Linked DNA regions of Rattus norvegicus. The protein of the gene in region 1 interacts with the protein of each later gene in a biochemical or structural test. Links are inferred from orthologs where the notes say so. Each region holds a gene or a part of one and is shown in the gene's direction. Other genes may lie near its edges.

Region 1 (3,511 bases):
GCTAATGTGAAGTGTATATGGTGTGCTTGCTTGTAGCACCAGAACCGATGGAGCTCGATGACCCTAAGAGAACTGGATACATCAAGACTGAGTTGATTTCTGTGTCTGAAGTGTAAGTGAGCACAGAAGACTGGCTTGTTGAGAACCTCAAGCCAGCCCCATCCCTGGCCGGGGCTCATTGATTGCACTGTCTCGAGGCTTGCTTTCCCAATGTAACTGATGTTGCCACCACAGTTGGACGTTCTGGAAAGATCCTAACTAGTCCTGGTATCAGTGCTTACTGGCGTTTTACTGCCATAAGATTAAAAAACAAAATACCAGCAACAACAACCTGCCACCCCAAACCCACAATAAACAAAATAAAAATGAAACAAAGTTGTATGTAAGGACTCCCCAAACTGACACTTGAAAAGAAAAAAAGCATGAATAAAAACAACCAAAACTCGACGAGTGGGAAAGCAGTTCTTTTTCAAGCAAAGGCCAAAGTTGGAACTGGGGTCCGTTTTCTCCGCTTGCTTTGATTCTGTCGTTTCAGTCCATAGAAGGTAGGAAGTGCTGGAAAAGTCATTGTCAGTTATTTGCTTGCGGCACTGTCTGGGGGTGAATGGATGTAGCCTTCATGTAGAACCCTGTGGAGCAGCCTTATCTGCATAGACCTCAAGGTAGGGAAGAGGGATCCCCCAGACATCTCTTGGTACTTTTCTGTCCAGGGTGAGCCTCGAGAGTCCACCACCTCAGGACAACACTGCACATCTTCACACTGAGGCTCCCCCAGGCCGTAGTGGTATAGGCTTCAGTCTGGCAATTGCTCATGTTTAAATTCTAGTGTATCCCAAGGGGCCGGGCCGGGGACATAAACCTCCCATGATCTGTACTGTGTGAGATTCGTTCTATACAGTGTATGTTTTTCTGACATGAGAGTATGAAGTGATCACGCAGCCTCAGATAGACAAAGTGTCTCAGCTTGCACTAAGGCCTCTGTAACTCAGGTGTTGACATTGCCCTTTCCTCTCTCTCTATTCCAGCCACCCTTCTAGACTTCAGAGCACAGAAAACCTGCTTCCCATGTCTCCAGAGGAGTTTGACGAGATGTCCAAGATAGTGGGCTCTGAATTTGACAGTATGGTGAGTTCTGTGGCAGGGGTATTTCCACCTTGGGAAGACCTGAGGCAGGCTGGTACTGCATCAGATCTGGAGTCTGCTGTAAGGAGCCCAGAGAAGGGTCTCTCCCTCTCCCTCTTCCTCTCCCCTCCTCCCTCTCCCTACCTCCGTCCTTCCCCGCCCCTCTCTCTCATGAGCCTGTGTTTCAGCTAGCTGCCTCATCAGCAGGATTTCTTTGTAGCATTTCACATTTCTGTCCCCTGTGACGTAAAAAGGTCTGGCCGTGTATTAAGTTCACACACTAAGGGATCAAGATTGTTTTCAGAGGCAGACGTTTTCCCGTGCCTGCTGTTTCTATCTGAGCCTCAGTAAAGGACTTACTGTAGGAAAGGATGGATGCCCGCCAGTTACATCGACTGCACACTGCCTAGCAGTGGTAGACAGTTCTGCCTGCGTTATATCCGAGACCTAACTCATTCTGCCGGCTTCTGAGGCTATCAAGGACTTGGGCAGAATGAATGGCTCGGAGGGTGACTTACTGGGTATCAATGTCTAAATAGAAACACGTGCTTGCAAAAGAGAACGTCTTCTTTCGGGAGAATGTTTTTCAGTGGATTAAATAGTACCGTTTGTCCTTCAGCCTGAAGGCCTTCATCACGCAGGTTTTGTTTGGGTGACTGGAGTTTTGCTGATGCTGATTTCAAGCTCTGGAGTCAGTCCAGTTCATTTTTCAAAGCTTGCCTGATGCGTTCAAAAACAATTCCCTCAAAGCTACTGCAGGCTTTCCTTCATCAATGCGCGCTTTGTGCATTTATCTGTTTGTGTTCAGTAATGAGAGGGAGGGTCAGAATAGGGGATGGGAGAGAGAGGGTGCAGAATGCATGGCTAAAGCTTCGTGCACCCGCATTCATGTGCTAGGCGTGCTAGAATGTCATCTCAGTGATGCGTGTTTCTCCTGCGTGACTTTGACTTTGGTCTTCACCTCACTGAGCACACTACGAGTCCTAGAGAACACCTTACAGCCTTCTGACCCTTGAGCATTCCTAGTATGATTCCAAAATAGCTGTTTTCTTCATGAAATGAGACTTTGGTCCAGGTAACCTAGCACCGGTTAGTTCTGTGAAACATGCTTTCTAAGTCTCATATGAAAATGGAGTAATGGTGAAGCTTGATTCAGAAAATGTAAAACAGATCAACGGGGCCACCACACAGGGCAAGCTTTCACACCTCCTTTGCTAAGAAAATCACCTTACCGTCGCCACCCCTGCCACCAATGGGTCATGCGTGTCAAGCTTCTCCCATGCACCCGGCAGGAGCCGTTTGCGTCTGTTTGTGAAGGCAGTGCCGGGTGAGAAGCCTTTGATTGGAACTTGGCATGTGCTGTTCCAACTGTCATCACCATTGTAGTCTGTGACATAGAGAACTAAGCTGTTCGTTCCTCAGTCTGTGCAAAGAACACTGCTTTCAGTACGCCGGAAGGCAATACTGTGGGGCCTCTTCCACCTTCACACAAATTCCAGGAATGGGTTTGTAGTCTTTGGACGCCCCATGTAGCTATTGTATTCCAATGGTTTTTTTTTTTTTTTGTCTAACATATGGAATAGATACATAGAGATATAAAGATACATTAAATTTGTGTGTAATAAGTGTGCACTCATCACAGTCGTCTCCAGGCAGACCCCAACAATCCCAGGGACTCTAGCAGAGGCCCTGCTCTGCTTAAACAAGGGAAGAATGAGACTGGCCTGTCAAATCCCTGTAACTACCACCACGTGCTCTGCCCCCAACCTTATTCTTGACTTCTGTCCAGCATTTGCTTTTAGAATTAGAACACATGAGCTAAGTGAAATCCAAGCAGTCGGGAGGCTGAGACAGGAAGGTCTCATGGTGGAGGCCACGAGACTACATAGAGACTCTGTCACAAAACAAAACAAAAAAAAATGGAATTAGTTGTGTGCTCTGAGGTGGAGGTGGTCCATGATTAAAAAGGTACTTGGGGTTGATGGTTGGTCCAGCCTTGGCTCTCGAGGAATTGTCCAGTACACTGGTGCTCTCTGTAATATGACCTGGATATTTATTAGTCTAACATTTCCAAACAACAAGTCTTGTCCCTCTGGACTGGAATAGACCTAGCCTACTTGCCTAGAGGCCTTTGTCCAGAGCTCATGCTAACAGATTGTCTACGACATTTTATACATGCTTTCAGTCTTATACTTTGACCAGACCTATGTGTTAGGCACTATTAGCCAACTTAGCACATGAAGGACTTGAGGTTTACAGAGGTTAATAAGCCAGTCGCAGAGTAACAGGATGTGGGTGTTTCTTCATCTCTCTCTCCCCGTCTCCCTTGCTTCTACAGTATACCATTTTAACTGCCCATTTGTGCCATCGGCCAGACTGCAACTGGGGG
Region 2 (4,270 bases), on another chromosome or scaffold:
CACAGCTGAGGCAGGTAGAGGACTGTCACTAGGGAATGACCCAGGAAACAGAATGCTCACAAGCCTGCTTCGAGGAGAAAGGAGATTGTCTTTCCAGAAGGAATCTAATTTGGTCAAAGTCGCTGTCACGGGGTGGGGACAGTTATCAGGACTGGGGACCTAAATACTAACTTTCAAACGGGGGCCCTCTTTCAGGGGACAGGGAACCAGCGGCCTTCCTCTTTCTACAGAAGGACGAGTCATTGTGGTTTCCTCTCCCTAGCTCAATCCCCAGTGTACATTCAAAATAAGGTTTGGAGACCTTCATTTACGCCAGGTTCCCCCATCCCTGGAAGTCTCAAACCTCCACAGGTGGAATGGGGCGGGGCGCTTCTCTTGATCTCAGACTGCAAAGAGCTGTCTAGACTTGTATTCCTTCTAGATAGTTTCCCAGAAGGACCTTAGGGATCTCGGGATACCAGAACCCTCTTATCCTCCCAGCAGGAAGAGTTATCTTTTTTATTTTATTTTTTGTTTTGTTTTTGTTTAGAGCCTCCCATGGCCAGGCTGCCATCCACTTGCTATGTAACTGAGGCTGAACTCGATGAGCTCCCCTTTCTCCTGCTTTCCTCCCGCCCCCAGCACTGAAGTATCATTCTGAGCCTCTATCCGTGGTTTACTCTGTGGTGAGGGTCAAACACAGAGCTATCTGCGTGCTAGACAAACTATCATCTGCCTAGTTCAGGAAGTCATTTCTTTGGGTAACTATAATGCAACAGCTTAGCGTTCTGGGCTTTGGGGACAGAAGAATGGACGCCCTGGCTCCCATTTGGTGCTCAGACTTTGGGCCCAGGGGACCCTTAATGAGTGAATGAGTTACAGCTGACAATCAAATTCCTTTTATGCGCCTGACTGATCGAGCGGAGCTCTAATGGTGGGCACAGGAAAAGGGTGTGAAGATGGGGGCAGTGCTGAGACAGACTGGCTAGAGCCTCTCGCCCTGGAGACCTCCCAGCTCCTTCTCTCCGGCAGGGCTGGAACCGGCAGGCCTGGCGGCGGGCACTGAGCCCGTCCATGGCTCTGCACAAGCCAGCAGGAAGAGGAATGAGGCCAGGCGAGGCAGGCCAGCTGGCCAGTGGGGAGTCCCGGGCGTGGGCGCAAGTAGTTGGGGAAGCCCCGCCGCTGCCTCCTGGGCTCCATTGTGTGTGCTGTGCCCCCCGACTTGGCCTCGGAGTCCTCCTCTATAAAACAGTCCCCTGAGGAGGGGTGACCTGCGTGCCACTGGCAGGCGAGGCACCACAAGAGCCAGAGACGGGTAACAGACCTGGGGACCAAAGAACCTGCAACTGAAAGAGGTTGAGACGTGCCGGACCCCCAGCTTTCGTGGGCGGAGCTTCGAAGGGGCGGGCGCCCGTGGGGCGGATCCTGAGTGGGGGCGGGACCGGGGCCGGCACCTGGGTGAGGTCGCGCAGTCCCGCCCCCTCGCACTTCCGTGTGCCGCGGCGCCAGAACAGGAGGCGGCGGCCGCGGGGATCCCGCGAGCGGCCCCTGAACATCTACCCTTCTTGCCGGGACCCGGGAGGTCCCCACTGGCCTCCGGGCCCGTCCTGATCAGACTCGTGTCGACCTCCCCGTCCACGCGCATCCGGGAGAGCCGCGCCACGAGACGGACCCGGGCCCGCCGGGACCCCTGGTGTCTGGCCCTGCGTCGAGAGGTGAGTGAGAGCTGGGCCCAGGCGCGGGGTCCGAGTTAACTCGAGGGCGCAGAGGCCTTCCCCCCCCCCCCCCCCCCGCTTTCTCTCGCCCGTAGCCTCCTTTCCCCCCTTCCTTCTCCGACTCCGGGTTCTGAAACTGAGAAACTGAGCCACGAGCAGCCAAAGTCCCGCCGAGCACAGAGACCCGCGGTTGCCTCGGTACTCTGGTCCGTCTGACCCTCTCTTCGACGGCTGGAGCCCAGGCCCGACTACTCCCAGCATCTTTACCCCGCTGTGTGTCCTCAGCCCCGCCGAGGGTCGTCCGATCTTCTCGAATCTCCCTGGGGCCTCTGCACGTTCGTCGGCCCCCACCCCCTCTTGCCTGATCCTCTGCTCCCAGGCCAGGTCCGTTTGCTCCTCGTCGTCCGTGTACTCCATCTCCCCACCCCCACCAGACCCGCCGCCCCCTCAACCCAGTCCTCCGGGAGCCGCACCCCCAGCCGACGCTCGCCCGCCCCTGCCAGTCCAGTCTCGGTTCCTTTTCACCACCGGGCGGAGGCCCGGCCGCCGGTCTCCTTAGCCTCCAGTGCTTGGGTCCCAGGCGGGCGGACTCTGGCGGCGCCGCCTCCTCGTCCTATCTCTTCTTTCTGTCTCGGTGTCTTTCTTGGCTTTCCTTGCATCTGTCTCTGTGCTGGGCGTGGCTCCAGCCTCCACCATTCCCCCGTCCTCTCGGATCCTCTGAGCCCCTTCCCCGGGTAGCCTCTGCCTGGTGCTGTCAGTCTCTGACCCGCAGGAGAGACGCCACCCGCTCTGGGGGCCCAGTAAGGTGACAAGGACAGCAGTGACGGGAGTGCCCTGCTGGCTGGCAGTGGAGAAGGAGGCCCCTCACAACTGCTCCCACTTCCCCAACTCCCTCAGTACAGGGGAGGGGAGAGGAGCGATCCTCATTAAGTACTCCACTCAAACCTGTAGGATTTAGAATGAGTGGGGGAGATTCCTTTTTCCTTTGGCCCCTACCCTGAGCCCTTGGAGAAGTTTGGCTTCTGTTGTCGTAGTATCGGTGTAGGACCTGTGGGTATGGTGTGTATCTTGTCTCCTTGTGTAATGTTTGTCATAGTGGGACTTCCCCAGTGAATGTGTCCTTTTTCATGTGTGACTTGCTTGTACTTATATGGCTGTCTGTGTGTTCTGAGGCTCGATGTGTGCCACATCCAACTTCATATACATCATGTCTTGTCACTGGCTTCCCCTCTACATTTTTGTGCTTTGACCTGCTTATGTATCCGCATCCCTGTGTGTCCCAAAAGTCTGTGCACTCTATCACAATGACCATGAGTCCTTTAACTGTGGGAGCCCACACTATTGGTGTGCCAACCCCCTAGGCTTGTGAGTGTGTAAGTGGTTCATCTTCTTCCGCTGCTGATCTTCTGTGACCAAGCTGATCAGGTACAGAGGGGAGGGGACTGGGTTTCCTCATTCCTGGTATGGATTAGACTGGGGTGTGGTGAACAGGCCAGCAAAGGGCAGCTGGTGTGTGTGTGTGTGTGTGTGTGTGTGTGTGTGTGTGTGTGTGTGCGTGTGTGTGTGTGACAGTATCTTTGTATGCTATTGTAAAGGCTCAGGTATATGACAGGGCTGTGTGGAAGGTGACACTGCAGTGTAGAACTCTGGTGGGAGAGGGTGACTGGTAGGAGACTCACAGTCTGACTGTATGAAACTGCGGGTGTGTATTGAGAAGTGATGGAGTGATGGTGGTTGTGGGTAACAGAGAGGCTCAGTGTAGGTAATAGCAACAGGAGGGGTGTGATAAGAGGTGAGGAGGGAAGGTGATACCTGGCTCTGCATGTTTTTATGAGTGTGCAGGAGGCACTGGGTGTGTGCTTGGCATGCACAAACCCGGCCCTGACTCCTGAGGAGATGGGGAACGCTAGGGACAAGACCTGGGGTTATAATGGTCTGATTGAGAACTCAGGTTCTAGACCAAAAAAAGCAGTGGAGTCACTTACCATGCCCTTTAGGAGCCAGAGTCCCATGCCCAGCCTGTGTGGCTGAGAAAGTGAAGACTCCGAGGACAGTGGCTCCTCAGCAGTGTTGGCCACACTGAGAGGGCTGTGCATGCGGGGCTCGTTCCTGGCTGTGTGTCCCATCCTGGAATCTGGGATGAGTGAAAACCTAGGGAGTTCCCAATAGGTTGCCTCTCCTGTCTCCCTGACTAGGCTGCTTGCAAGAAGGAGGGCTTCTTCGTAGAGTGTCAGGACCCAGCCCTGCTCAGCCCCACCCAGCCGGCCCCCCAGTCTCTGTAGCTGTGATGGGAGGTGTGGGGGTGACTCAGAACTGTGACTCCTGCTGGGCTCTGACACCGTTTACCTGGCACAGCTAATTGGAGTTTAAATTTAAGCTAGAAATAATTTGAAGGACGATGGAAAGATAAAGCCCGAGGCTGCTGCTGTGTCCAGGAAGTAGCAAGGGGTCTCTAGCTGGGCGATTGGGGCCTTTTGAGGAGACCCAGCCTGTGGAAATGCCAGGATACCTAGGCCAGTGCACTATGCTGCTTTTGCCATTCCTTCTGTTCAGGATATCTCTAGGCCTCTGTGTTC

What was found. The genes of interacting proteins can lie anywhere in the genome.
Region 2: of the proteins of Stat1 (region 1) and Prkcd, one has a biochemical effect on the other in vitro, tested with the Homo sapiens proteins (2 studies listed by BioGRID). The link is inferred for Rattus norvegicus from reciprocal best matches to the Homo sapiens genes STAT1 and PRKCD.

Annotation. Positions count from the first base shown.
Region 1 is NC_086027.1:56,913,920-56,917,430, reverse strand, and holds part of Stat1 (signal transducer and activator of transcription 1-alpha/beta), read left to right. Parts: intron 1-36; coding exon 37-112; coding exon of another isoform or gene 113-116; exon of another isoform or gene 117-445; intron 446-1,025; coding exon 1,026-1,125; intron 1,126-3,511. UniProt on the Homo sapiens protein: Signal transducer and transcription activator that mediates cellular responses to interferons (IFNs), cytokine KITLG/SCF and other cytokines and other growth factors.
Region 2 is NC_086034.1:5,803,035-5,807,304, reverse strand, and holds the start of Prkcd (protein kinase C delta type), read left to right. Parts: upstream 1-1,465; 5' UTR 1,466-1,694; intron 1,695-1,979; exon of another isoform or gene 1,980-2,078; intron 2,079-4,270.